Lepisosteus oculatus: one gene and its partners. The protein of the gene in region 1 purifies or fractionates together with the protein of each later gene. This does not show direct contact. Links are inferred from orthologs where the notes say so. Each region holds a gene or a part of one and is shown on either strand. Other genes may lie near its edges.

Region 1 (7,800 bases):
CTGCTGCTGCCCGTGGAGGCGCTGCGGCGCTTGCGGGCCTTCTCCCTGCCGCGGTCCTTGTCCGCCGCCTCCTTCGCTCCCACCTTCTCCTTGCCTCGGTCTTTGGCCTTGTCCTCGGAGCGGTCCTTCCTCTTCGTGGGTGACGGTGCCCTGTCAGGGAAGGGGGGGGGGGGAGCGTGATCAATATCCTTCAAGGGACGACCCGAGGGAGGAAGCCAGAACAAGCCGCCAGGCCGGGCAGATCCTCTCGGTAGTACACAGCTACCGCAATGAAAGCAGCACAATGATCACTATTCCCATCCTATTTTTTAACATTCGTGTTCTGCGTTCACAGAACCACTCTCACGGGCTCGCCGAGTTCAGAGGTGATCCAAATGATCCCTGTCCTGCACAGAGCTGCAAACCTATAGCCTCTTATGACATAACTCTTTCAGACTGCTGAAGATGAGGTCTCACCTGCATAAACTAGTAAAGAAATTAGTGTTTTCCCATGAGGTCTCTCAAATGACTTCTCATTTCTCTGCAATGGCTGTAAAAAATGGGAAGATGTCTGTGGCTTCATATCTCATGCTATTTCATGATTTAAAATGTTGGCTCTTCTGAGAAAATAATCCTGTTCTAGATACCTTACTGAATAACCAGATGATCATAATTATTTAAAAAAACTGTAATGCAGTTTCAAACATTCAGTCATCTGGAGGCAGCCAGATGCTACCTCTAAAAACCTTTTCCATCATGAAGAAATGTCTGTATAAATGACTAATTTAGACAGTATTATTTTACATGGCACAAAGTGTGAATATTTACTGTGTAAAAGGTCAGTGGTGTTTCGCACTCAAACTGTTCACACCCTGTGTTAACTGGAAATCTTCACCGCCAGTTAGAATAAATGACTTTTCAATAAACAGAGAAGAGAAACCACTGTCAAGTTTAACAATATTACATTTCACCATCTCACACTGGGAGAGGGAGAAAGACTTGAGGGGGAGCGTTTCGAACTGGACTGTAAGGGAAGGAGGGTAAAGTTCCTGTACTGTGTTCCTAGCAGAGCATCAGTGTGCACTGTCACCTTTCAGGAACAAGTGCTCTGTCTGTAAGAGGCGTCTGCCCCAAGGATCAAGTTATCAGGCAGTGAAGAAGCTCTTCAAGCCCTGAACTTCGGAAGGCCCAAGAAACAACACAATAGGGAGCCACTGACATCTTACGTGATCCTGTATGAACACAAGAGAGCACCAGCAAGTCCAACACTCTATGAATACTTTCAGGGACATGCTTAAAAGCTTAAAGCAGGAAATAGTAGCTTAATATGCTGAACTTCAATCCCATTATTTGAATAACCTTGCAAATAAACCAAACACCTACTCATACTACCCCCACCCCCCAAAAAATGGCTTTTTGTTAGTGTACAGTACGATCATTTCAGCTTTTCACACCTTGGCCTTTGTGTGGACACTCTCTCATTCCCACCTACTCAGTCCTCTGTTCTCCTGTGCCTTATATTCCAGTTAACTTCCTCTCTCACAACTGAAAATGGCTCAACAGCCAAAACATTGGTTCTTATTTCTACTTTTCAGCATGGAATAAACCGTTACTTGCTCCTTTTTTTTAGCCAAGACATGCACACTTAAACCAGCATGCTTCTCATCGAGCTAGGCCTGTCCTGCAACCCTCAGTAACTGAGCCCAATCTGGAAAAGGCTCAACTGGGCAAAACACACAAACAAACCTCCTTTTAAGTGGCAGCCCCACTAGTTCCAAAGACCATTCCAAGAGGGCTTAAATGTTTAATGTGGCAAGTTTGCAAATGCTAAAATCCAATGTTAAAAACCGAGCTAGAAAGGCGACACTAACTGGAGGAATATTTCAAAACATGTTCCAATACATAATGTTAAAAGCTTAAATGCTAAAAAGAATACATGCAAACAAAAACGTTAAAATGGATGGCAACACTATCGATATATAATTAAAATATGTGTACAACTATACACGGTATTGCTGTTTGGTCAGCACCTACGCATTAACCCATTTAAGGTAAGCACCGTACAGTGTCTTAACAGTTTCATATTCTTAAGTACAATTTAACAGACTGCGAGTGGCTTTAGAGAATGCTGCTCAGGGAAAATCTGTGCAAAACTCTGTTTAGGGACAATTTTCCAAGAGGCACTGAAAAACTAATTCTAAGCTCTCCATGCGCAAATTTCTAGGATAACCATTTGAATGTAGCGAGTTAAACCACGGTGTGTTTTTTACATTAAGCGAAATCCACTATATATATCTTAAATGATTATTAGCCCATATTGCGTAAATGGAAAACTTACTTAAATACGCACGATTTGGGGAGGGGGGTTATTATCTCAATTACCTTTATAGAGTTTATGTATTTGTTGATCCTTGAGCACATTAAGCCACATGGAGAGAATTCTGCATTACGTGAACTGTAAAGTAGAAATTTTGTGAGGTTTAGCTGAGGTTTGTGTACACGAACTACACAAACCTCACTGTGTACGTTAAATAAAGCCGTCGACAGTACAGAGACGTGTTAGGCTTTGTGTTCGTAAAGCTTTTAGAAACTGCCCTACATTTTCATAGACGAAGTTACAATTAACGTTTTATGTTCCTAGTTTCAGTGCATTTGTGGAAACAATCCAAACCCCCCGTTGTACTCGGCAAACGAACCCACTCGTCCGCCATTGATGTTTTCATTCATCTGTTCAAAGCTCTGCTTTCAAGCAACACCCCCCCCGCTCCAAAATCAAGCACAATCCCAACACCGCGACAGGAAATATCACTTCGAGATGCATTGCTTTCGACTAAATAATTTATAAAAACAAGATTCAGTGTCCTAAAACCGCTATAACATCGAGGATTGCATTAGATGGTTTCTAAAAAAAAAAACACACACAAACTTACATCTCCGCTCAGAAAGTCTCCCTCCGCGGCGGGCGCAGATTGATGACGCAGAAGCGGCCAAACTCGTCAGACTGTATCGCCGTGGTCTGTGCCGAGAACGTAACTGAATTTCCTCCTCAAACACAGTAACACAGGCAGCCCAAGGAGGTGTTAATAAGCGGCTGGGCACAGGGGGAGTAAATTGTAGGAGCTGTTATTTGTTTGGAGAAAAAGATGGCATGTTAAGTTTCAGCCCCATCCAAAACAATTCTAAAATACCGTTTGTAATAAATTTAATTATAATGGCACGTTATATACACAAAATGAAGTGGTCTGGGAAGAATCATATGTTTAAAGCATTTTAAAATGGATGTAAAGGAATATCTACAGACTATTTAAAAATGTAAAAATATGAAAGCAGTGGGGACGTTATCTTTGTTTAAACTTTTTTTCATAATTTGAATTTATTTTGTAATATATACCCCCTGACGATGTTTTTTTTGTCTTGAAATGTTATATGCACTCTTGCTTGTATTTGTATTTTTGTTATAGTTTATGCATAAATAAATAAAAATTATTTAAAAAACTTATAAACGTCCTGTATTACAAGACCATTGTACTGTTTTATGCAAAGTAAATTCGGAAACGTTAAAAAACCTGGAAATTGTTTTTTAAGGGGTACTATGTACTAAGTTGAACAACATTTGAAACTTTTGTTTCATTCATTGCAGACCCAGGGAATATTTGAAAATGTTTATTTTCACCTAAAATAATTGAACATATATACATTATATGTTTAAAAAACGTCATGCTTCAAGTGCAGACAAAAGCTAACAGTAAATTGTTTTCTTTGGTCAGTTAACTACGACACTGGGGTAAAAACGCAATCAGATTTACCCCTTCTAAACATTTCATAGATTGTAAATGACGCGCTTTTCAATTGTCTTAGCAGTCAAACCGAAACCGACGAGTTTGCACAACATCCACAGCAATCGGAATAAGTACCATTCAATACACATACGAAACACTTTTATACATATCTACATGCCTATAGACAACGATGTCTGTTAAAGGTGGATTCTGTTGTCAAACATTATACTTATTATAAGAGCTCTGCTCTAACTCGTTTGTGGTTATTATAATGCTAAGAGAATTTATGAAGACGTAAAAATGATTCAGAGATTAGAAGGTTGCCTTCTATTCAATTTAAACAAAATGTCTTTCTGTAATCCTATCTGTTCGAAACTTTCAAGAACTTCGACCATCTCCAGTACATGAAGATTGTCATCTAGCTTTGTCACTGGTTACCTAGAAAATGATATGATTGGCTGCTCAGATCCTTGTCTGACCAATTAGAATTGAATAGACGCCTCCTCTTTTTGACCAATAGAAACAGCTCTTTAGTATATAGATAGATAATACTTTATTTATCCCATAGAGAAACGGAGATAAACAACTGATCAATAGGAAACACAGGTACTCATATCCCCCCACCACAGCTGAGCTTTGTCCAATAGAAACTCCTCACCTCTTCAGCTAATTAGCAGATCTGGCAAAAATAAACTGGCATAACCTCATATTAAGCCACTCAGGACTGATTCAGAGCCTCAAAATCTAGGCTGTTATTGCAAGTGGTGCGTAGGGTGGGAGAGACCTGTAGGTGGTTCACTTCCATTTTACCCTTCACTGTAAGAGGTTCAATCATTTTAATGAGATGCTTGAGAGGTCCAAAAAGATTAAAGTGTAGGGGTGTTAACGCTGGAGTCCTGGCTAAATTCCAGCCCAGACTTACTGTACACACTGGGCTTATTTCACAGTCATTTAATTTCTCACTTCTGTACCTGGTAGAGGGTCTGTTGGTGCTAAGTGCTTGGTATGTCTCACTTTGTACTGCTGCATTTCCATGGCAGATGAAGTCAATTCCACCCATATTGTAATGTACTTCAGCTTGAAAAGTGCTTACACACAAGGACTTTGTCCATTTCCTTGTTGCCTTCTAGTTTAAACAAAACCAGTTCCATACTTTCAGGAACTTTAAACATACTCCTCCATATACAACTAGATGAAGAAAAGTGGTATCTACATTAAGGGACTTGGTCTTGTTCTCCATTTTGTTGTGCAGTAGTGAAATGACTAGCAGGCCAACCTTCCAGCCATGAAGATGAGACCATTAGGTCCTGACATGGTAAGCTACAGCTCTGCCCTCTAACCCCGTCTCTATAAAATGTCTATATATGCGCAACACTAGTGCAGGCTTTGTGAAACCCCTGCATTACATGTCAACCCCCCCCTCCACAGAGCTGTATGTGAAGTACTCATGCAAAATAAGTAAGGAAGAACAGTAGTTCTACCATGTTCCAGATACCAATTATACCTAATGTGTTACATAAACAGATGTACTCCATCTTCTGCTGTTGCATAGGTTAAATAACCTTAGCCTTGTATTACAAATGTGACAACTGGAGAGCTGTAGCTTCTTGGTTAGTGAAAGGTGTGATCTGTTCCCATTAAGACAGGGGCAGTAAGTGTCCCCCACCCTCCCCTCATTATACATGTTAAGATACAGTTTATTTGCAGTCAGCATTGTTGCTGGAAAAAAAAAAAAGCTACCCTTGAAGGCAGATACTGTCCCCCTACAAGTCTTCAGGAGGATAAAATATTGGGGGATTAACCCAAGGCACGTCACCTCAGAGTTAATGGGCAATAATAAAGACTTCCCAGTGACACCTTAGCTTTATTGCATAGACATGATACAATTCTCAAGATCAGGGCCAAGGACATGACAGAAGGTCAGAGGATCAACATACAAACCAGATCTTTGTTCCACATTACAGACGCAGTGTTGAGGGTGTCCCATTCCTCTGGAAGAGCTTCACTTTCCCCATCTCCATTCTCACATGATCCACAGAGCTCTATTCCCAGTAGGAGGGAAGGAAAGGTTACATGACCAAGTCCTGACACTTTATTAGACAGCATGTCATGTTAACCAAATAACCATTCAATACCAACAACATTCCTACTTGGACCACTCACACTTTGGAATCCCAAGCTTGGAGAATGAGCTCCTCAACCTTACCCAGATCATGAAACACCATGGGAAGACTTCCACACCATCCCATAGACTTGTCCAGTGGAGACCCTGCCAAGAGGAAGCTCACTTTAGTACAAAAGGGAAGGGGTGTTAGACTGAGGCTTTTATTCAGTGTACTTTCAATTTTAAAGCTAAGCACAGCAGCACCCTGCCTGGGATTTCTGCGTCGGGTCTCTGCTGAACAATAAACTAGGTTCCCACTTCCCAAAGAACAGAGCGCTCCCTGCTGTATAACTTTAAGAGCCTACAAACCTAGTCCCCTGGAATGGGGTTCTTGTGGAAACTTACTTTGCCAAGACATACAGTTTAAGTGGCCATTTAAGATGGATCAATTCAAGGTATTGTATGCCTCCATTTTGCAGGCAGGTCAATAGTTATGCATTTAAAACCTTCTGCACCAACTCTGGAGGCAATGAGCAGCTAGTTAACACTTCTAAAGCTCATTTTCACATGTAGTACTATGAACATCTACCAACTAGGAATTCCGCAAGTGTAATTTACTCCCAGTATAGCTTACCCATGAGCTGGTACACATCAGCATATTTAGCCATCCCTACATGACAGCATAACTTACCACAACTCCAAACCCCAGCACAACTTGTCAAGTCTCACAGATCAGCCTGCTTCAGGAACAGTGTTTTGGCTGAATTCTCCTAGTCATGGATATCTTATTCTTCTTACCATAGAAACTCTAAAGCCACAAGAATATTAGTATAGCATACAAAAAAAAAAAAGTATCTTCATGTTCTTCTACAACTCAAAACACAAACTAAATGCTGTTCTCCCAGGCTTCACTTTTATGAGCCTCTTCAGTAAGTAAAGGGGCGTGGCTAATTCCATAGGAACCAATCGCAAAAGCCCTACAATCCTCATGTGGAATGCCTAGGTGTGTCCAGCTCAATAGTGCACACCTGCTTCCAGATCCCTGTCTGCTCAGAAGCCATCTTGGCTCAGAGACACACCACAGCCTGGGCTTGAGCCAAAATGTAAGATTCTTACTGAACCCTTCTAGGGACACTACAGCATTGCTTTAATACATTTCCATTGAAGACTATTAGAGGTGTGTTCTTTCTAAACATTTTAGCATAGCCCAATCTACTTAAAAAATGGATTAAGAGAGAAAGATAATGATTTGATTATAGTTCTTTTTATATATGCCTTTATACGTATACACATTTGTGATTTTAACTCTTGAATCACTTCAGCTCCCAATATTATTTCTCTTCCTATGTCGGAACACTGCTATTATTGGAATCTTGTTCTCAGTTGATATATCATAAAGGAGAGCTGTAGAACCATAATAAAAACATGTTTTGCTAGTAGAGTCCTCTGTATTTAAAGAATAATGATGATTGATGAGAGTTTTGTAATTTCAAGTATTCAAGGAGATTGAAGCATCACTTTGAGACAGAATCTGCCTTCCAATATGTTGATTCCCTGTGTTGGTTGATGATTGTGTAGCTGTTTTTTTCCAGTTAAACTTCTTCCTTTCGTTATCACTAAGAATTAGTCTCGTGGTTTGGTAAGTAGGGATTCAAATAAACAATCAGGGTGACATTTTTAAATCATCAGTAGAATCTGAAATAACATTTTATTTGTTTCTGTTTAAAAACTATGGCATCATCATTGTCTTCTCCTGGCCTCCCCTTCTTAGGCACAGCCCAATATTAATTACTACTCTTACTGCTTCTGCCATGTTGAACAATCCAGGGATGGGAAATTGACCACGAATGTCTCATTCTAAAATGGTCACATGTCTCCTCTCAGAAGGGCCACTCAAAGGAGACGTCTTGTTAGTGTAATCCCTGCCAAAGGAGCATT
Region 2 (7,992 bases), on another chromosome or scaffold:
CAATTGTGAGCTCAGCAATAAACCGCAGATCTGTTCTAAGCTTGCTTACATTTGGTGTTTTTTCTTCCTTTCTTGCCTCAAAATGCTTTTTCCAGGCTTGGAGTAGTAATGGGGCAAAGTCAGCATATCGCTGATGGAAGAGAGAACACAAATGCACAGCACAGTTAACATCAGATATCTTCAGCTTGGCCTCCACAATGGAGCCCACGGCTTCGGCAATGTATTTACTCAGATTGAGGCTATTGAAATCATTCGAGAGAGAATCTCTCTGCTGCTCCGTGATCGTTTTCAGCTTCTTCACAAAGGCGGTGTTCTTCTTGAGACTGGAATCAAGCCTGCTAAAGAACGTCTCCTCTGGTCTGCCCTCCTGGGCATTCTGGTTTTTACTTCGCAGGTCTTTCCTTGCTTGGTGCCGTTCCCACGCTTCCTGGTGAAGCTGATGCGCTTCCTCTTTTTCTCTGAAAGAAAATCACCAGAAAATACATCTCTGTAGACGCAATAACATTTTTGCATACTTTGGACCACTAATCTCTGGTAGTGAATCAGGTAGAATGATTCACACAAGAAGCATACTTTGACCACAGATTTAAATTTTAGCCCTCAACAGTAAATGGGGAAGAAAAACTAAAAGCTGCAATATGGCCATTTCACTGACAAGCATTTTAAATAATTTGTCATTAGCTGTTTTCATTAGCCCTAGTGTAGAGGACAACACTGCGTGTGGTGTTTGCAAATAACTGGGGACTTATAATGAAACAAATCTTCAAATGGAGATAAAAACACTACTTCAGCAACAGAATGTGCAATACAAAGAAAACAGGCGGCTGGATTTGAAGCTGGCGTCTTACTTCAACCGAGCTGCCTCTTCTTCCCGCTGCCTCTTCTCCTCTTCCTCCTGCATCCTCTTCTCCTCTTCCTCCTGCTGTTTTTTCTCCTCCTCCTCCCTCTTGCGCTGCTCCTCTTCAGCTTTCAGCTTCTCCTCCTCTTTCTTCTTGCGCTCCTTCTCCTCCTTCTTGCGCTTCTCCTCTTCCAGCCTTCTCTTCTTCTCCTCTACAGTTTTGGCATTCTCTTTCTTACCACTGACCTTGGGGTCTTCCTTTCCCTTCTCCCTGGATGAGGCGGGGCGCCTGTCGCCACTCTCTTTCTCTTTGTTGCTGAAAGAACACACCTCTTTTTCATCCATACTGACTTCTTACGCTGCGCAGGCAATACTGTAAAACACAATTGGCTTCTTCATTAACAAAACTGCAAACTCATTTCTGCTATTCTCTTGAAAATGCACCCATCCATCAATTTTCGAACTGCTTCATCCAGCTCAGGGATGCAGAGCAGCCGTAGTCTATCCCTACGAGCAATGGTACTTGGCAGGTGACACCCTGGACAAACCGCCTGTCCATCACAGGACACCCACAGGCACAGACACACACCCACTCGAACCAGGGCCAATCTTCCCAGAGGCAAATTAACTTACCGGCATGTCTTTGGAGTGAGGGAGGAACCCCATACGAACACTGGGATAACATGCAAACTCCACACAGACAGAACCCCAGGTCCAGAAATGAACCCAGGGCCCCAGTGCTGCGAGGCAACAATGCTAACGACTGCTCCACCATGCTGCCCTCTCTTGAAAATCTATCAATTAACACAACGCCAAAACATACAACCCCAGTCTCTTCTCCAATAAGAAGAGATATTACATTCTGTAATTCTCCAATTACAGAAGGTTTTAAATTGTAAAAATAACAGTCTTCAAAAGGTAAGCGTTTGGTAGAAACATTAAAAGGTTCCATATTAATTTACATAATTATTAATAATGGTTGAGGTATTTGACTATAAACTAATAATGGTGAAATACACCCAAGTTTTATTCAAAGTAATTCTTTAACAACAATCCCCACAAAGTCAAGTATAAAGCCTTAAGTTGACACATACATAACTAAAGTATTCTTTACAAAAAGAGGCATAAAATTGATCTAATTAAAATAATTAATCGTGCTACAAGTACTCTTATGAAAGTCATATATACTGACTAAAGACAACATCTTCGTTTGACGTCCACGTTTCAATCTGCCACGATCTATAACTAAGATACAACTTCCATGGTAACATTTTCACCCCAAAACAAAACCTTTTAAAAGCTGAAATTCTCCCAACTATCACTTAGCAGAAAGACTGAACGACGTTCCCTTAAAAAGAAACGTCTTACCAGATCTGATAGGAGCTTAGATTCTGTTTTCCTCAGCGTAACGCCATCCTTGATCCATCAAGGCTCTGGAAACGAAGCCGCGGTTAGTTAATCACACTTGGGGAATGAAAGAAAGACAAACTTATGACTGTCGCCGGACAGTGTGCTGTAAAACTAATCCACCCCCGTCCAGAAAGCCGACCGTTAGCGGACTGACAGTTGAGCTGTTTCGCGAGAGGCGGAATGGTGGAACTGTCGGGCACTGGGCAGTTAGCAGATACAGAGCCGAGTGCGATAGGTGAAGGGGTAAGATTTCAGCCATGTAACAGGTTAATCACCCCGCATCTAACTCTGCGCATGAGGAAAGGTGCACTTGAAAAGATAAAAGATGTGAAAATACCTGGCGACACGGGACAAATAACGTTAATGTGGTAACTCGACTAATGTGCGACGTTCCAAACCCCAATTATATCTGTAACGCTATCCCACCGGAAACGTTTTAGGCCCAGAAAAATACAGACAAAAATGGAAAAAGAACATACACTACAGCAAAAGCAACTGTCAGAAAGCAATTGTTTTAAGAAAAATAAACAGGTGTAGTAGGCCTAATAAAAAAACACTTAAACGCTCTTTTCGGGTTTTACTGAAATGCGTGACTACTGACAGCAACATTCCAATTAATTCATAAACAAACCCTCACACAGGAGGAAAAAAACTAAGATTCTACAGAAAAATTAAAACACGATTACCTTCAATTCATGTAAGCATTAGGTTTGTTTGTAGTTAAAAAAACCTTCAGTACAGACGAAGGACCTCGTCAGCAGGTATTACGTGTAGCGCCTGAACTAAATAAAATAGCAGTAGATTGTCACGACGTAGAAGGCACCACTGCTTTGTGTACAATTGTAAATTGGATTTTAGATTTTAAAATGTTGAGTTTATTTCTATTTTTGGATAATAACTTTATTTAATGTGGATTCAAATTCGAAATGGCAATCCGAGGACACCTCTGGCACTATTAAGCCCATACGTCACAACCGGCAGTGATGGGATGAACTGAGAGCTAACACACGGGCATGGATATTTTAGTGGCATGTATTTCATGTTCATGGATGTTATGAAACAACGAGATCATACTTAAGCATGCAATTAAAAAAATTAAGCACATGTTTTGTTTTTCCCCCTAAACTGGTGTTCGATTACTTTGCTACGACTCAGAAAAGTAAACATTTTTATTTGCGCTGTAGAAAGACAAATAGCTTATTTATCCTGAACCTGTAAGAGTTCCCAGTTAAAATACAAACATACCACAGCTGCACTTCTACAACAACAATAATAATATTTGTATATGATATAAATGTAACAATGGATGCTCATAGTCCCTGTTGCAGTTAATGTAATGATACGATTGAGTTCCATCGAAACAGTTAAACTAACCGTGAGGTCTTTACGTGGAGCTATGTATCTAACCATTTTATCCCCACTTTAAGATGCTTGGTTTTTAATGTTTTGCTTCCCACAGACACGTACATTTCATTTACTTATATAAAACGCTCGAGTTACTGTTGCATGAAAGCGAACAGGTGAACATGCGCTTTGCTTGTCTCGCTGTTTTCCGTGAAACTAAATCCCACGCTGTTCAGCCAATCGGAGCTGGAGGTGTTGCTAAACCCCCTGTTCTGGAGAAAGTATGGCCGACTAATTGTACAGTGTGCAAGCTGAAAAAGTATTTGTTTTAAAATAAGATAAGCGAGTAAAACATGTCAGCATTTATTTTAGTTAGACCTTTCCATTTAGCAACAAGAACTTATCTGAATTCTGCCCGGCCACTTCTACGTAATTTATATCACACAGAGAGAGGCGTCTACGGATACAAACCAAAGAGGACTGACACAGACCCTAAATTGATCAAGAACGAACATATCTCTGCACATGATCAAGGTCAGTAGGATTATGCCTTTAAGGCATTTAATGTATCTGATTGTATTTAGATTGTATGTGTCACAGGCAACGGACACATTTCGTGTGGGTGTTAAATTATTTACATTACATAAAGCTTATTACAATAATCGAAACATTCATACATTTCATTGCAATCAAACAAGTGAAATGCCACGCACACAGTTTGGAGCTGGTTGTTTGGGTCATTTTACGGTTTGTCTATAAACCTGAATGTTTTTTTTTTGCTTATGAGCGGTTTATAGAGCTAGAATCAAATATGGGCCTGATCACTCCCCTGAATAAACAGTGTCAAATTGTACGTCTACAGTTCAAGGGGCGTCGTATCCCCTGCTCCCGGACGACTCGGTTGTCTGTAAGTTTACTTCAATTGACTTTTAAGAACATTAGAAAGATTACACACGAAAGGAGGCCGTTCGGCCGAACTGGGCCGTTTGCGAGAACCTGTGAAACCGGTCCACTTACATCACTAACCAGCTGGTTCTGCTTGTTAAACGTTGCGGTAAAATGAAAACGCACAGACACACCGACCCTCCAGGATTATGTTTGGACTCATCGGAATTATTCACGCATTTAAATAATTTATTTAAATATTTTTTTATTTATTTAAAATAAGGTAAAGTGTTGTAGCACAGCAGGGAAGTGGTCACAACATAAAGTGAACTGGTATCCTTCACCTGGATCGCCCCTTCCACATTATTAATGTCCGCTATCTTCAGTTTATCTTCAGATGCAGTGTTTAACCAAGGCCATTCAATGATCCCAAACAATATTTGAGAGGTCCAGGTGTCCCAACTTAATTTGCACTCTGGGCTTTTGTAAGCTAGTCTCCCTAATATTCACCCTGAATTAATCTGGTGAGGTGATTTGTAACCACTGTAGGTGATGTATTGTGTAGTAGGTTAGGACTAAAGTTACTCAAGTAGGTAGCTGTGTCTGCATGTGTAGGTTGCAAATGAACAAGTAAAGGTTAATTCTGAAATGGGAAGAAAAGAAACACAGTGTTTCGGCTGTGGAGCCTTCTTCGGGTATTTCTTTTCTTCTCTTTTCCACATGGAATTAACCTTGCTTGTTCCTTAGGACCATAGTTACACATGTAGGTGTTGCAAGGTAAGAATCATTACTGTAAAGCAGTAATCTTTTGGTTAAGTAAGGAGTGATTATGAGAGTTAAGTGCTTTTCTGAGCTACAGTCAACATCTTTTTCCTGTGCTTGTCTTTGTAGATCATGGGTTGGCACGGCTGGTCGAGGCATACCGAACTCATGGGCATAAGGCAGCAAAGATTAACCCCTTATTCACTGGGCAGGCAGTGATGGACATGGTGCCTGAAATCAGTTACTTAACTGAGGTGCTTCATGGGCCTTTCAATACAAGCAGTAAGTGATTTTTGTTTTACTTCTTATTTTAAAGAGAAATCTGACTGCATGTAGCTTTTTCCCCCCACTAAAGTTTGTTTCAGGGTACGTCCTTCTTAATGCTTCTCACAAATTTGAGCTTCTGATTTTTTGCTACACTGAAAGTCAAAAGTCTTCCACTTGAATGCAAAAATGTTCAAGGCCTTTTTGTTTAAACATTATCTTGTTCACATCTCAGTGTGACTGCAGTAGGACCATTTCTACGAAACGGTATCTAAGTATTTCACTAGCTCAACACCACGGAATCACCGTCTATATTTCTTTAACTGTCTGACTTATTGTTTTCAATAAAGCCTTAACTCACTTTGGGAAAGGAGAGGCCTCACTGGAAAATGTCTTGGCATACCTGGACCATACCTACTGTGGCCACATCAGTATCGAGACCAGCCAGCTGCAAAGCCTGGAGGAGAGAGAGTGGTTTGCCAGCAGGTTTGAGGAACTAAAGAAGGAAACTTTCTCCCCTGAAGAGAGGAGACAACTGGCCAAGCTCATGCTGGAATCTCAGGTAAGACAGAGGAGTCCCGCTGCAAATACATCCATCCATTTTCTGACTGCTTTATCCAATTCAGAGTTGCGGGAGAGCTGGAGCCTGTTTTGGCGAACAGGGGGCGCAAGGCAGGAGACACCCTGAACTAGATGCCAGTCCATGACTGGGCACACACACAGAGACACAAACACGCATGCACTCACACCAGGAAGCCAATGAACCTGTCAGTATGTCTTTGGACTGTGGGAGTATCCTGAATCAGCCGGAGGAAACCTTCATAAACACGGGGAGAACTCCGCACAGAAAGTATCCCAGGTCCAGAACTGAATCCAGGGTCCCAGCGCGACAAAGCAGCAATGCCAGCCACTGTGCCACCCTACTGTGAATACAGTATTGCTTCATTTTCAAAGGGCTGTTGGCGCTGATGATTCCTAAGATAAAAGCCTTGCGTTGCTCACAGGAGTCATCCTTGGAGGTTTCTGCACTCCAGCTCCAGAAGGTGTTATATAAAGTTGATGAGGTAGATTTTGGTGACCGGACTTACAGGATAGTCTGGATTGGATCCTTTTTATGTTACCTTACTGGAAAACTCTTCCCCACTGTCATTTACGATGATTTGCATTTGCAGAATGAGGTATCCGTTTTGCCTTGCAGGAATTTGACCACTTCTTGGCCACTAAGTTTGCAACAGTAAAGAGGTATGGGGGGGAAGGAGCAGAGAGCATGATGGGATTCTTCCATGAGCTGTTCCGCAGCGTGTCGTACAGTGGAGTGACGGACGTGATCATGGGCATGCCTCATCGCGGGAGACTCAACCTGCTCACTGGGCTCCTGCAGTTTCCACCGGAGGTCTGGATTCTTAACTACCAGATATTTTTCACAATGCAGAAAACACTCCTTAATCACTCCGTGCTGAGGCTGTCTTTCATGTCTTCAGTCTAATGTTTATAAGTTCATTTTTTTATCATTGTTTTTCTGAAGAAAGGTTTTACTGAAGCACAGCAGTTACTTTTCTGAGAATTATTATTTATATTACTAGATAAGCAACACTGTAGATATTTTTCTTTCTTTTGGTGGCTTTGAAGACCGTCGAAAATTGTTGGCATAATTTATCCCCTTCCCCTCTTTTTCCAGCTTATGTTTCGTAAGATGAGGGGTCTCAGCGAGTTTCCCGAGAACTCCCCATCCATTGGAGACGTGTTGTCCCACCTAACCTCCTCCGTAGATCTGGATTTTGGTTCAGGACACCCTCTCCATGTCACTATGCTGCCCAACCCCTCGCACCTGGAGGCTATCAACCCTGTCACAGTGGGCAAGACCAGAGGAAGACAGCAGTCCAAGAAGGATGGGGACTACTCTCCAGACAGCAGCGGTCAGCCTGGGGACAAAGTCATCTGTCTGCAGGTAAGATGGCCACTGGTGCTGACCCCATTGTCTTGGAGAACCATTCACCAAGAGCCATGGTTACATCATTTACATCTTCTGGACCACGTGGTGAAGCAATATAAAAGCTAAACAAAATGCTAAGACTTGATGGTGAAGAACAAAATTTAGATGAATGGCTGTCATGTTAATTTTGTTGAATACAGTGGTAAAACCAAATTTCAATTATTGTGTGCATTACTGTAAGCCACAGTACAAAAATGACAGTGCTCTAGAAGCAGTCCAGAGAAGACCCCATACATTGACAGGCTTAAAGAGCCTGTCAGCACTCACGGGCTAAAATTGATTAACCTTTTTAGTCTTGAATAGAGAAAGCTATGAGCGGGTCTGATCCAAGTATTCAGAATCCTCAAAGGCCTTAACAAGGTTAAACGTTTTCAGATTTAACAGTGGAACATGAACCAAGGTCAAAAGTGGAAGCTAGATGGAAGTGTGTTTAAAACCGAGAACAGGCACATCTTTACATAAAGGGTTATGGGACATACCCAGCCCTCCAGTAGCT
Region 3 (7,606 bases), on another chromosome or scaffold:
GCCTTCTGCCATAAGACTGTACAACGCATCCACCTTGCGTCTGGGCAGAGGCAACATTGACAGTGACCTGTTTCTGGACTGAACGGTAAACTGATGCATCTGTTGTTCTTTTTCCCGTTTACAACCGTTTTTGTGCACTATATGCCAGGGACCTGTGCAATACATTTATATTTATATTGTGCAATACGACTTTTTGGTGTACTGTTCTGTTCTGGTTTGTTCTGTGTGTTCTGGACTGCGAGTAACTCTTCTTAGTGCACTTCTCACTGTACTGATTGTATTGTATGTATTGTATTATTATTGTATCATTTGTTACACTGTGGCTGTGTTGTCTGTGTTAAGCTGCCGTTGCAGTGCAATTTCCCTCACAGATCAATAAAGTATCTATCTATACAGTCTCTCTCAATTTCATTAAAATATAACCAGGACGGTCCATTTGCAGTTGTGCGCAAGCTTTGCACATCCTGTTTAACACACAATGGGTAAATGCACTGCCCATGTTACTCCTATTAACATAAATCTCCATCGGCGGTACAAAATAAAACAAGAGGGGCGACTGAGAAGTGGAACCATTCTTCATTCACTACCTACTGCAAGAACCGTAATAATCTCCAATTTTCACTGGCAAGCGCAAGTCTTGTTTCCCCATGAACGCACAGCACATATGCAAATAAATATTCTTCACGATACTGCACTTACCATTCATGTTGAACCATTTCTCCAAAAATACCCTCTGGAAAAAGTTTATAAAGCTGAATGTGAAGATTTCATATGTTCCATTCAGTAGCCATTATCACACATTTTAAAAAGCTATGTATGCTGCCAGGTCAAGTTAGTATTGCAGAAGAAACTGAGCAGGAACAGTAAAGAACAATGTGGAATGGAAACAAAGCAAAACACGGGAATTATTTTAAACATGTAAGCCACTACTGTTTTGAGATTTTTAGCAAAATTTGTTTTTAGGAAATCAAAATGGCAAGAAATAAGATGCAGGTATATCTGAAATGCTCTTCCACAACCACAACCAGTCATTTTGATAAAAGTCTGCCTTTCCTTACAGCAAGGCTTTCCAAATGTGGTACTGGGCATCAATAAGAGAGTTGGTTTCTGTCCCTGCTGAGCTTTCCTTTACAGGTGGAACCCTTAATTGGAATAACAAGAGGATTCATTTGAAATCCATTTCTTTTCAGTTCCTGAACATGTTGGAGGATGTCTTTCAAAGATCACATTTCATAAGTAACTTCAAAACACCGATGTGCGAGTACAAAAAACAAACTTAATTTCCAAAGGTTGTAGTAATTCAGGTGGGTGGCTGCGTCAGCATGCGTAGGCTGCAAAGGAACAAGTAATAGGTTTATTCCATGCTGAAAAGAGAAGAAAGAAAACACGTTTCGGCCGTGGAGCCTTCTTCAGGTGTGAGCAACCTGAAGCCCCCTGCTCACACCTGAAGAAGGCTCCACGGCCGAAACGTTGTGTTTGGTAATAAACCTATTACTAAAGTAATAAAGTAATTATACTATTACTTGTTAATTTCCCAAGGTGCCAATCGAGCATCTTCTTAGGAACAAGTAAAGGTTTATTTCATGCTGAAAAGAGAAGAAAGGAATCACAACGTTTCGGCTGTGGAGCCTCTTCGGGTGTGCTCAGCCGAAACGTTGCGTTTACCTTCTTTTTTCAGCATGGAATAAACTTTTACTTGTTCCTTTGCAGCCCACGCATGCTGCTGCAGCTACCTGTAAAGGACTCAACTAAATTTGCTCAGCTAAAATCAACACCAGGACAGGGGTGAGAACAAATGCTTAAAAACACAGTTCTACAAAGAAAGAAATGTTACAACAGCCTGAAAACGCGACTCTAAAATGCCTTTAACCAAAAAGAGCAGTGGGTTATCTAAAAATGACAGAAAAGAGCTTGCTCGACATTGGTTTATCTAGGGGACAATTTTAATTTACGCAGGACCATCATTCAAGGTGTCTTGCGTTTTAAAGTGATCTGTGAACAAAAATAATAACTTTGCAAGCGATGCAAAGCAAAGTACCACACTTTACTACCTAATTAACAATTACATTAATTAGAAACGGCAATTAAACGTCTGGGAATAAGCAAGCGCAAAAATGCAAAACGCAGGCAATTCAGTTGCAACGTTCACGCTGCAGGGTAGAAACTGTAAGTGATGAATTACCGAGCGAAAATGTTGACCCCCTCAACTCGGGAAGGAGAGGGGTCACCCTCCGTACCTGGCGACGACGTGATATGAGATATGGGACAACTTCAAAATAAACACGTTAGCCATTTCCCTCCGAATTAAACAGTACCCACGTACCGCACAATCATGTATTTATGTAGAAACCGGTAATGCGATAGGGTCAAGGTGTTATTTTAAAAGTAAAAAGTTTCAAACGGCGATGCGTGTGTGTTACGTCTGGAGAAGTTGGAGCCGCTCATTGCTCGCTGCCCGAGGCGGCAGGAGAAATGGAGCCCGGCAGCCCCGCACTCATTCAAACAAACCAGCGCCCGGCGTTACTCCCGCCCCGGCTCTGACTGATGCAGGCCTCGTCCCGGAAAAAAAAACGGAGAGCCGCGCTGTGGCCGGGCAAAACCTCCGTCAGTTTCCACGGGGGGCTGCCGCCCCCCTCCGGGCGGACGGGACGCGCGACCTCTCCAGCCCCGCCGTCCACGGCTCATTGAGCGTTTGCGGCGGCCGCGACTACTCGAGTCCCCGGATTAAGGCCTGCGCCTGGGTGCACACAGCAGTTAATTCAACTTCACCGCAGGGACGAACCACCACCGCAACAACAAAAATATTCTCCCCCTGCCCCCTGCTCGCACATACTCGGACTCTTTACACGAAAGCTGTCTCCTGGTAGTACGCGGTTCAATAAGCGTTTACCTCAGTAAATTCTGTAACTGCCGGCACCCTTCGGCTGCTCCCCAACCCAGAAGGAAGACGAGCCTTATTCAGTTTTTCTCCTTCACTAATTTCTAAAGATGGCGCTAAGAGAAACGTCAATGCATTTCGGGTAAATATCCGCCAGTCAGCGCGGCTGAGCGGGGTCATAGATGCGCGGTTTTGTACATCACCAACCCCCTGCCTGCTTCCTTGAGATATTTACAGGTCAAAACGCATATTTTACAGAAGAACCTGCCCTACAACACTTTTTAAGACAGGTTTAGAGGAATAGAGAATAATAAGGAATTAAAACTTGTGCAAAATTAACTGTAGAGAATAAGTCTGAATCAAAAAATGAGAAAACTGTCACAAAAGGTCAGCTGTTTACTAGCTTATCCTTTTCATTGCTCACCTGTAAAAACAGTATTCCGGCATTTTTCGTTATAATACTTTACAATAACGTTCTTTAAAAGTGCAAATTGAAAGTTGTCCATCTAAGTTTAAATAAAAATGACAAATATTTGTATGATATTAAAACCCAAACATCCCCGAGGCAAAACAATTCACTTTTAAATAAAACATTTTTCTAACTTTTTATATAATATAGGTACCGTATAATTTGGGTTGATGGCCACAATATTTTTTAAATGGATGCTTTTATAGGCGTGTATATTCGAAAGGTTACTGTAAAGAAAAAGGGGTCATCTAGAATGTTCAACGTTTGTTGTTTCCTTATATAGTATTAATAAAATACGACTAAGGGGAATGCTTGCTTTGCACAATTCCTCATAACATGTTTTCTGCGTCTCGAATTCTGTTAACCTTTGTTATCAATTACATTGAGGGGTACAACTTTTTTATGATGTTTTAAAATAGCGATAGTCCCTGAAACAATGTTACATGACGGGCCATTTTGTGGCAGGAAGATGGTACTTTCTGCAGTTAAATAAGGGTGACATTCGAGAAATAGGAATTTGTTGAATTGCATTTTATTTGCAGATAAAATCCAGGTAATTTAAACACGACGTTATCTTTTTGAAATCTGTAATTGACCACAGTGCCGTGAAAGATGTCTGGCACAAGAATGTTAACCTGACTCTTTACACGTGCGTCTCAAGCACGTTAGCATCTGCTGTAGTGTAGCTATCTGTATGCGAAACCCTGCACACAGGCAAGTGATCTACCCGTAAACTGGTTTACGTAAAGGTAAATATAATTTGCTCGCTGTCGGGATGTTTAACCTGTTTTTTATGTTTCGGTAAGTATTTTTTGAGATACAAAAAAGTCCATTGACCATAACAAGGCGAATAAGCCCACAGTACAGTAAGAGGGTAGTGTGTCTTGGACCAGCTCTTGAAATAAACCGAATTAATAAATAATAAACTAACCTGTAGATTACAAATCAACGAGGATTGCTGTATTTCTGCTTCGTTTTTTCAAACTTTCAGCTGAACAGCAGCTACAAGAAAATTATTTACTAGTAACAGAACGTGGAATAGCACGACTGCTCTCTGCTTGTGAAGTTGAGAACAGTTTACCTTTAGCCCAAAACTGAAATCATTAGATTAAAAGTCTTATTTTTATTTTTTAAAAAGCGACCTGTTATGGTCGTTAATTTTACTTGCGGTGGTGATATTTTAATGTTTTACCTTGTGTTTCATCACGGTCTTTAATTGCCAGTTTACTGTTTTAAGTCCCATATAGTGTAACCCACCTGCAGGTGAAGGTCGACCAGTTTCCCCCAGTTCCCCTGGTGAGCTGTGTGCAGTACTCTTAGAGATCATATGCAGACAGTGATCTCTGCCTTGCCTTGGTGCACAGTACAGGAAAGGTTACAACTGAGAGGAGTTTGACTCTCCTTGCTTTTTTAAATTGCTACAGTGTAATCATTCTCGAAATACTTTACTGCTCTTTCCTACTGGTTATAGCTCTGACAGCATGGCTGTGTAATTTGTTTTGGACCGAAAAGTTCTCTTATCTAAAAAAGTGCTTCCTATTTTCTGTTAATTAACTGCATGTTCTCCTGATCTTTACTTGAGTGCCTGAGTCTCTCTTTCGTTATTGAGACAGGCGGTAACAGAGCTGACAGTAACTTTAAGGACTATGAATACTTACAGTACGTGAGAACAAGACAGGTGGGAGGTCTTTCGCTCATTCGTTTGCTTGCAGCTTATTCAACCAAAAAGATCTCATCCGACATTTGCCTGAAAGATCGTCAATAGTTGGGCCTGTAGTGGTCTTTCTTAGACTTTGGGCCAATGAATTGTGTGATTAAATCCTAATTAAGTTTCATTCAAGATTATTTTAACCTCAACATCTGATAAACTATATGCAAATACCCTACAGTTGTTATTCTCTCAAGGTTTGCAGTGTGTTTGCTCTTTATTGCTAACGGAGAAAAGACTTCCTCGCCTTTGGACGTTGTATGAATGCTTCCTTGCCACGACAGGTATGTAATTGTAACTGTTTTTGTTTCCCTTTTGTCTCGTGTTCCAGAATCTGCTGGGCCAGAATGGTTTAGGCTGTTTTCTGAGGTCTTTGGATCCGTGAAGCAGGGCACAGACTTGGCTGTGAAGCTCACCAGCCTGAGATGAGCACCTGCACGGCGGTCTGTTCCTTCGGCACGCGCTAGCGGGGGGGGGGGACAGGGGCCGGGGCCATGTTGCGGCTGCGGAGTGTGTGTCGCTCCTCCTGGAGGCTCCTGCACCCCCGGGTGGCAGGCAGCGATCAGGTGCTGGAGCAGCTCTTCGCCAGCGGGAGCGAGGAGCAGGTGCTGGACGTCGTGGGCAGGAACAAAGCCAAGCTGTCGGCGGCGCACGTGGGCCTGGCCGTGAGCCGGCTCTGGCAGTTCCAGAAGGAGAAGCCCCAGATGCTGCGCACCCTGGAGTTTACCAGGACTCACCCGCAGTTCCTCGCCCTGTGCGTGCTGGCGGAAAACAAGGTGGAGCAGCTGCCGGACAGCGAGCTCGTGGACATGCTGTACAACGTGCTCAGGTGAGACGCCAGGCTCTGCGGGTGGGGAACAAACCGAACGCTGTTCAAGGGAGAGCACAAAGCAGCTTCGCCTTACTTTCCTGAGCGAGTTTCTGACAACGAAGATCGTCAGTGTAGCTGTCATTGCTTTTGGCTTCGGCCAGCTGTGTGCCCAGTAAGGAACATTAACTCCATCTAGCTCATTTGGTTTTTGTTAGCTCATTGATCTCCATCAGTTATTTAATAATAATAACAACAATAATACACTTTATTTTCTATAGGGCCCCTAAAGGTGGCTTCTTAAAGTGCTTTACAGAATGACAGCAGCAACAACAACAATTAAAAATAAACAATAAAAAATACACTAGGTCAACACGGTGAGAATACAATAGTGGTTCTAAATACAATAGGAGCAGAGGGGTAAAGAATGGAACCAGTTAAGTAAAGACTCTTCTAAAGAAGAAGGAACTGTTATTATTTATAATAACAATAATAATAATAATAATAATAATTATTATTATTATTAATTATTTCCTGGAATAAACCAGAATATTGGCCTTGACAACATGATCCAGACACACACCGCCCTCTGTGTAGAGAGGAGCCTCCTGTTCTCAGAGTTAAAAGCACTTCAATGTAGTTTTAATTTGTGTCCTCTGCTTCACGTAGATAAAGAGCAAGTATATTAAACTGGCCCGAGCCAATCTCGGTTATGGGTTGCTCTTAATCTTTATGACGGTATCTGCTATTGACAGCTAACTCCCTCCAATCGATACCACTGCTTTTTCTTTCCATATTAACATTTACAAAATAATCTCGAAAGAGAAAGCACAAGGCAGATAGTATAAGTTATCTCTTTTTATTGTCCAGATTACTAATGGTAATAATCATCCCTAAGCGCAATTTAAGAAAGACTGGGATGTGGAAATGAGCTCAGAATAATGTGATGTAATTCATTTTGTCTGCTCTGAGATTAACACCTGTTCACAACATGGTAATTCGTAATTGACTTTCCTGTTTTATGTCCAATTTTGTGTGTCACCATGAAGTACTCAGTATCTGTACAACATCACTGCAGTACTACATCACATTGTTTAATTGCTTTACCTGAAGGCTGAGTGTGGAACCACATGACTCTCTGGTCCAGGAACTTGTTACAGAAGGATGGCGCAGAATAGACAGGTGAGTATTGACGATGGATGAGGTCTGTTAAGCAATATAGCAACACTAATATTTCTGCTTCAGTTCAAGTTACTGTACTATTGCTTAGAGTTCTCAATTGAACCAGCACACCAAGTGTGCTTTGCTTCTTCCTTCTTGAAAGTATTGTTTTCTGAAATCTAACAACAAAATATATTAAATTCCAAACAGAATCTTAAAATGGGATCTCTCACAATAAAAATTTGCTTGTTTCTTTACAGGTTACCAATGGCCCCGCTGTCCAAGTTTGCAAATTGCTTAAATGACCAGCACCTGAACTCTAGCCCTCTAATGGGAGAAATCACTGAGATTGTAAGGCAGAAATTGGACTCAGTAAAAGATGCCAGGTGTGTGTGCACTAGGAACATCATACAGTTACAAGTTTGGTTAATGAGAAAGGCATGTTATCTTTCCCTTTCAGTGTTACTCTTTGACGTTCTTAAGTCTGCCCGCACGTGTAAGTTTGTACTGTGCTGTACAGAAAGAAAGCAACCCAGTGGTCTACCTGTGTGAGCAATTCAAATGATCTTTTTTCTTTGTTAA
Region 4 (7,076 bases), on another chromosome or scaffold:
CTCAAAATCAAGTACTCATTAAAGCAGAGGAGAACTGAAAGAAACTAATGCACAATTTGACCTCAGTCTACTTGTGGGTCTATTTCTGCAAGAATTCAAAAAAGAAATCAAAACCTATGAAAATATAAATGGCCTCTTATTTAGGTAGGTTAAAAATTGCGATGATAAACTCCCCAAGTAACAATTTAGATTCCAAGAAACCCCAGACGGCATTAATGATCCTCCATACAGGACCTGTCGTTTAAATGGATAAACGTTATAAACTGACAATGCATCAAATTCCGGGAAAGAGTATATTATAGGAGCACAATGTAGTCCACAAACAATAGAAAATTTGAATAACATGACTTTAATCTGCTTAAAGACCAACAGAAATAGAAATGATTCATGCCAGCCTTCAACAGTTTTAAATGAGGCAGAAATTAAATGTGTTTAAACGAAAAACTAAGTCAAAACAACTCTGGTTTGTCTGCACTTCAACTGTTTAATACACGTCAGTCTTCTGTACCTATACTAGGAGCTCTCAACAGGCTGCCAATCACAGCTGCCCACACAGGAGGAGATCAGATTGTGTGGAACATCTCCATACAGAACTGTCAATTCTACAAGGGCTGAACTCCCAAACACCTGGTCACTGTTTTTTACACCAGTAAAAAAAAAATATATATAACAATATTTTACCAGACGAAATCAGTGGAGAATTTTAGTACCAAACGACAAGAGTCAGTCACCCACAAGGACAAGGACTGAGAAACCCTGACCTACAGAACAGCTCTATTAAATTTTCACTTCTGGTTTTCAGCAAGTTGAGACACTAAGCTGATGTCCACTTCGAACCTTATAGAGTGCCGTATTGAAGCTTTGGAATAATATCTGGGTTTTTGACAAGTCCACTTAGACAATGACTGAGCAGCCTAACGTATTAGTGAAAGGTTTTTCCCCCCTATTTACTGTATTAATTCACTTCACAGGATTGTTTTCCTCACCACCTCATAGCCCTAGATTGTTATGTCCCTTTGGAGCAAACAAATGTAGATCCTTAAGATCTATTCCACTGCAAGATTCGCCCAGCTCTTTAATCATCTCAGCAGCTGACGGCTAATTCAACTCTTCGGTATCTCAGGCCTGCGATGAAACCGAGCGAGGGTCCTGTACTGTATTATCCTTGCTCCAGGCCACGCTGGTCACCGGAAAGAAGTCCCAGGGGTCATCACCATCTGGACGAGAGCACCTACTCTAGGGAGAAAACAGATGGAACCCATCTGTCATGCCTGCACCACGGTGCAGACTGGGAAATCCCAAGGAAAGACCTGACTCCGCTGGGCTGACGGCTGAGACGACAGACACACACCGAGGCGACATCAAATGCCCATGACCGGTCAGAAAAGGAGAAGCTCACTCCAACCCTAACTTCGCTGTGTCATCATCCCATAAGTTTCAACAGCTTGATGCAAAGAACTGTGGCTCAAGACCATTTTGACTAGCGGCGTGAGGATGATAAACTAGCAGGTTATAACTAGGTACTGCACAACCACTGCAGGCACAACGGCAACTCCCAGCATCCCACAGCTGGAAGCTCTCCTTATCCCACACTGCTGGCCTGCGGTACACCCCAGCTCCCACCCTCCTCGTCAAACCTCTCCCTGAACTGCCAGACCAGATCCCATTCCCATGGCCTCTTCTTCGGGGGAAGAAGCGGCACAACTAATTTAAGCTTAGCAGGCTCCCTAAATTAACACAGCCCAGCAGTGCACCATAACCACCTGATCAGACTTATCATATGCCCCCAAATAAAGGTGCGATTTCACCCTCAGAATAACCACTCCAAACTCGACTGCCACCGCTATCAAGAGAGACGCACTTCCACAATCAGTACATAATCCACCCTCATCGAGCTTTTCTATTACCAGTACAACAAGATGCTACCAAATCCATATAAAATATTTAGCTTGTTAATGCTTCCAGCTTAGAAGTTATTTTGCTGACAGGGAATGGATCTCCTGGGAGTCGACTATGACTAAGACTAAACCAACAACAGAGTGAGGACATCTCTCAGCATTCCTGCAACTTGTATATCTGGTTCTGCAGCGCAGAGATCACTACACGAGCCCTCACAGAGGAGGAGGAGGAGGCGGCGGCAGCCAGGAAGGCGTGAGGCTCTTGAATAGGCATCATTGTTTTCAACTTGCCTTTAACTCCAGCTGGTTATCGCCGTTGACGACAAGAGTGAAATCAACACCAAAATGTCGCTTTCGCGGGGCATAGTTTATTCAGAAGAAGAAGAAGAAAAGAGCTCAAGTAGTGTGGATCTCACGAAGTCACATTTTTTAAAGAGGGTGGCACTAGAACTCAAAATCCGTCGATCTTGAGTGCCACTGCTATGAGGGGCTCGGCGTCTCACACGGGGGGGTATGAACTGGTTAAACGCAGAGCAACATCCGCAGTTTAGAAGGCATGTTAAGCTCTGCCCCGGCGGAGTGGGAAGGTGAGATGTGCAATTCGCCATCGCCATTCGGTTCAGGCGGCCATGGCAGTGCGGTAGTGCCCTCCCCGCCGTACCCCGGCCATGCACACACTGCCCCGCACCCCGCAACTGCAAGGGCACCGCGCTTCAGAGCACGGCCGCGGGGAGCAAAACACGGGTCGTCAGCGCCTACAAGCCCTCCCTCCCAGCACAGCCCCGAGACCTAGCGCCTTTTTTTTTTGTTTACCACCCTGCTAATGCACACAGCGCCGCCTTTCCCTTACACCACTTCCCACGGCCCCCAAGGGCGCCCAAGAAGCTCGGTTTGTGCTGCCATTTCCGCGCCCTGACGCGCTTCAGAAACGCTACAGCTGCCCCCCTCGCCCGGGGAGACCTTCCCCCGCCGCCCGGAACCGGCCGTTTATCCATTTACCTGGAAATCACGATCCTCGTTGAAACGAGAGAACCTGTCAGCCATTTTCCTGCTGCAGCTCCCGTCGTCTCGTTTTCTGCCCGACCTGGCCCTGCGGCTTCGGAAACGCCTACCGCCATGTGACGAGCGCCGGCGAGCACCAATCGCGGCGCCCCCTGCCCTCTGATTGACGCGCCCTTCGACCAATCCAAGCAGTGCATCTTTTTTTTTCATTCCGCCGTAGGAGCCTTGCCGAAACACCAAACATTGACAAGATTGTGTCCAATTGAAGAAAGTAATTCTCCTGATGAACAGAACCTTTAACCAATAAAAGCTGGCGAAGAGATGCCTTTTTTTCCTCTCGAACTACAGATTGAATGTATTATGTGTGAGAATTGAGTTACTGTGCCAGGGAATAAAGTGTGCTAGTGTCCTTAGCTGAATAGCGCACTGTGTACTACCAAACCTATCGACAAGGCGTACGGCTGTTACCTTGTAGTATGAGTTTATCAAGCCTAATCTGAATTTATTTATTGCATAGTGGATTTCAACTGCAGAACGGTCAACTGCAGAGAGATCATTCTTAAAAATGGCAATGGTATATTCATGGTTGTAACAGTTTCCTTCCTACACTTGCATTTTTTAAAAGGACCCATATTTTACAGACGGCTTTAGTTTAGTATTGAAAAAATATACGGGAAAGAAAAATAAAACGTTTTCTTCAGGCTCAGGTCGAATGTAGATCATTTCGTCTTCCCTGTCGTTTATGGTCTTTAACCAAGCACAAAATAACGGATGACTAATAATAATAATTTAGACGAGTGTCTCGCAAGAGACAAAAAAGCTTTTATACACACAGCATTTTCCTATACTTTTCCAACCTGTCTATTTAAGTGACTCATCTCTTTGAGACAGAAATGTTGCTTTCTGTTAACAATAAGGCGTAATTATATATTACCACCGGCTTTCTTTTACATAATGTATTGCTGTGGAATTATCTTTCCTTTTATCTCCATTTAAACCAGTCCTATCCGTATTATTATATACACTACTGTGGAAAAGGCTTGGACACAATCAGGTGTTACAGTATATGAAGGTGATGTGCATCAGCAAGTTACTCAAAACCTCCACTGGTATTTGGTACAATGATAAAAATTTAGTTATTAATACAGCTTAGATTGAGTGAGAGAAAAAACAAGCTTGTCATGTAGTCATTGGTCATTCACATGAATGAAAAACACTTCAGAACATTTGTATCATCATACTCAAACTAAACCAATCATGAGCAGCATATAAGAACATTTAAAAAGACCACAAACACGAAGTGGACCATCTAATCCCCATGGATGGTAGAGGCAAATCCATAGATATCATTCAGACATTTCTTGAAAAAATAAATGGTATCGGCTTCAACAAAATGGCTAAGTAGCTTATTGCTGACAGCCAGAACTCTGTGTAAAACGTGCCCTCTGTTCCCAGTTTTAAATGTACCTTCTTGCAAATTACACTTGTGTGCTGGGGTTCGTGTCTCGGTGTTGATTCTGAAGAGTTTACAATGCCAACGTCTCTGAGGCATTTGAATACTTGAATTATATATAAAATATGTGAAGTGTTTACCCATTTACGTTTACCAGTCAAATAAATTCTGGCCGGGTGTGGCTTGTTATTCACATAGTGTGTTCCTCTCTACACATCCATCGTGCTCAAAGGCAACATTTCGCTCTACAGCACTGAGATCTGATAGGACTTAAAGCCAAGTGGCTACAATTCCGAAGGCAGAGAATAACCGGTGTTGTGCTTCAGCGGAAAGAAAGGAAAACCCTGAGTGGTAAGAGCTGAACAATGGAAAGTGTCTAAGTCTGCCGCACAGCTGAGTCTGTCAGACCGTTCCTAGTGCTACACCGAGTCGGCAGTGAACCAGGACCAGTATGGACCCAGAAACAACAGGGCTGTGTCCCTTGTTCCCTGTAGAACACTGCCCACTACAAAACATCAGCTCACAAACAGCTTTCGTTCTGCTCTTTTACTTGCTTGCTTTGTATTGTGCATCACTGATGCCACTTGATCTTGCGCTGCATTTATACTGCACTTCACTGACGTAGTATGCTGTCCACCGTGCTGGATATGAACTGTTATAAGGAAGAGTGCCTTTTTTTAAACCAAAACCGTTAGTAACTGAGGAGCCACTGGAAGAGTAATGTTGTGCAATGCTCATTTACTATCGCAAAGGTTTTATTTTGACGTGTCACCGTGAGCAGAGACGGGCAGTCTCCCCTGAAAAGAGAGAAAAATAACGATCAATTAGGAAAGTCAGACTTGAAATCGGATCGTAGGTCGAGGTGCGCCCCCTGCTGACCATTCTGTGAACGGCCTTCACGGAAGAACCCCACGGCCTACTACGCGTTCGTTATCCCGAACCGCAGGTAGGATTGGTCTGGTCAGGGCATTGATCGCATGTTCATTCCAAGCATGTCCCAACATTCCCAGCTGAGCCAGGCTTGTTACTAGGTGACGACGATAGGTATTGATGTGGCAAGCAGACATTCAAAAACCTCCTTGGCCTTCTAATGTTAACCCCTTATTATGACTTTATAGACTAGCATACCCCCTTACAGGCAACTTCCAAAACCGAACAGCTAGCTGGGTCTTTTACCAGAAAGACAGTACAAAGTTTTTTAGTCACTTCTTTACCACCCTCATTTGTTTTTGTTAATATTAACCAAATACAACAATAATAATAATAATAATAATAATAATAATAATAATAATAATTGCTTGCACTTATACATCAATTTAATCAATTTCCCTTTGGGATCAATTAAGTCTTATCTATCCACATGAGGGGGCGGGGCAGAGGCACTGTGGTTAAGGCTCTGCACCTGTGGCTGGAAGGTTCCCGGTTCGTATCCTGTGGCTGGCAGAGGAGTCCTACTCCGTTGGGCCCCTGAGCAAAGCCCTTAACCCCACCTGCTCCAGGGGCGCTGAACAATGGCTGACCCTGTGCTCTGACCCCCAGCTTCTCTCCCTGCCTGTGTGTCTCATGGAGAGCAGGCTGGGGTCTGCGAAAAGACAAATTCCTAATGCAAGAAATTGTATCTGGCCAATAAAGTTTTCTTATCACATATAGTCCTTTTTCTGGACACTCCACTCAAAGCGCTTTACAGGTAATGGGGATCCCCTCCACACCCACTAGTGTGCAGTCCCACCTCGATGATGCAACTGTAGCCATAGTGCACCAGAACACTCCCCACACACCAGCTACCAGTGGGGTGGAGAAAAGAGAGATGAAGCCAGTTCATAGATGGGGATTATTAGGAGGCCATGATTGGTAAAGGCCAGGGGGAAATTTGACCAGGACACCAGGGTAACACCCCTATTCTTTTTGAGAAATGCCCTGGAATTTTTAATTACCAGAGGGAGTCAGGACCACGGTTTTACATCTCATTCCAAAGGATGGCGCCTTTTTTTAGAGATTGAAGATTGAATCTTCTTCTGATACAAGATTGAAGAATTCCATCATCTTATTCTGCACTGCTCTTTGGAACAGAAGCTTTGTCTTGCAGAATTGTTTACACTGGTGCAATACACTGGCTTGGGGTTATACTACAGCCTGTTGAAATAAGAAATGACGCAAAATACTCTGTACGGGGCACAGAGTGTAGCCAATATTACTGAGGAGATTCAATTACACTGTCCTGGAGAGAGGGACAATGAAAATTATTAAAGCCGCAAAAGAACAAATAAACATGTTCTTGATAAAAACGTTCATTTTAACCTAAAGTTCCCTCTTAATTCAATTGCCGAAGCAGATTTTCAGCACGCCCTAGCCGATCTGCTGCGCAGTTGGGCTGCAGGTGCAGACTGCTGCGAGTTACGTCAGAGCTCTGCGCCGCTCTGGGATGACGAGCGCTGCAGGAATATAAACTTTCCAGCAGAGGGCAGTCTAACCCCGAATTGGGAAGACGCTGAACTATTCTCCCTTTCCTTCTCATACCTTGTGTATCTCAAAATGTGTTTTGTCCAGAATATACAGGTACATCATTAAGAGCTGATTAAATTTAAAACTGAGGGTGACATATACGCACACAAAATTAAACTTCTCCGCGGGCAAATTGTTAACCAGTGAATTTGGGCCGTTGATTCTAGCGAGGGTGCAGGACAATGTGTGCGTGAGGGAGTATATCAGCTACTTCAGTTTCG

The links.
Region 2: the proteins of RNA-binding protein with serine-rich domain 1 (region 1) and upf2 purify together in Homo sapiens (co-immunoprecipitation; 5 studies listed by BioGRID and IntAct, with this or other methods). This does not show direct contact. The link is inferred for Lepisosteus oculatus from reciprocal best matches to the Homo sapiens genes RNPS1 and UPF2.
Region 3: the proteins of RNA-binding protein with serine-rich domain 1 (region 1) and ppig purify together in Homo sapiens (co-immunoprecipitation; 3 studies listed by BioGRID and IntAct, with this or other methods). This does not show direct contact. The link is inferred for Lepisosteus oculatus from reciprocal best matches to the Homo sapiens genes RNPS1 and PPIG.
Region 4: the proteins of RNA-binding protein with serine-rich domain 1 (region 1) and gpatch8 purify together in Homo sapiens (co-immunoprecipitation; 4 studies listed by BioGRID and IntAct, with this or other methods). This does not show direct contact. The link is inferred for Lepisosteus oculatus from reciprocal best matches to the Homo sapiens genes RNPS1 and GPATCH8.

The regions. Positions count from the first base shown.
Region 1 is NC_090714.1:5,331,751-5,339,550, reverse strand, and holds the start of RNA-binding protein with serine-rich domain 1, read right to left. Parts: upstream 3,020-7,800; 5' UTR 2,912-3,019; coding exon 2,910-2,911; intron 151-2,909; coding exon 1-150. UniProt on the Homo sapiens protein: Part of pre- and post-splicing multiprotein mRNP complexes. Auxiliary component of the splicing-dependent multiprotein exon junction complex (EJC) deposited at splice junction on mRNAs.
Region 2 is NC_090702.1:41,845,793-41,853,784, reverse strand, and holds the start of upf2 (regulator of nonsense transcripts 2), read right to left. Parts: upstream 3,018-7,992; 5' UTR 2,935-3,017; intron 2,272-2,934; 5' UTR 2,207-2,271; intron 1,212-2,206; 5' UTR 1,184-1,211; coding exon 849-1,183; intron 459-848; coding exon 1-458. Other genes in the region: dhtkd1 (2-oxoadipate dehydrogenase complex component E1), read left to right, coding at 3,946-4,126, 5,369-5,521, 5,854-6,065, 6,702-6,896, 7,182-7,451. UniProt on the Homo sapiens protein: Involved in nonsense-mediated decay (NMD) of mRNAs containing premature stop codons by associating with the nuclear exon junction complex (EJC).
Region 3 is NC_090707.1:15,861,100-15,868,705, reverse strand, and holds the start of ppig (peptidyl-prolyl cis-trans isomerase G), read right to left. Parts: upstream 3,003-7,606; 5' UTR 2,891-3,002; intron 1-2,890. Other genes in the region: fastkd1 (FAST kinase domain-containing protein 1, mitochondrial), read left to right, coding at 5,550-5,884, 6,977-7,045, 7,285-7,410. UniProt on the Homo sapiens protein: PPIase that catalyzes the cis-trans isomerization of proline imidic peptide bonds in oligopeptides and may therefore assist protein folding. May be implicated in the folding, transport, and assembly of proteins.
Region 4 is NC_090723.1:3,728,198-3,735,273, reverse strand, and holds the start of gpatch8 (G patch domain-containing protein 8), read right to left. Parts: upstream 3,007-7,076; 5' UTR 2,943-3,006; coding exon 2,898-2,942; intron 1-2,897.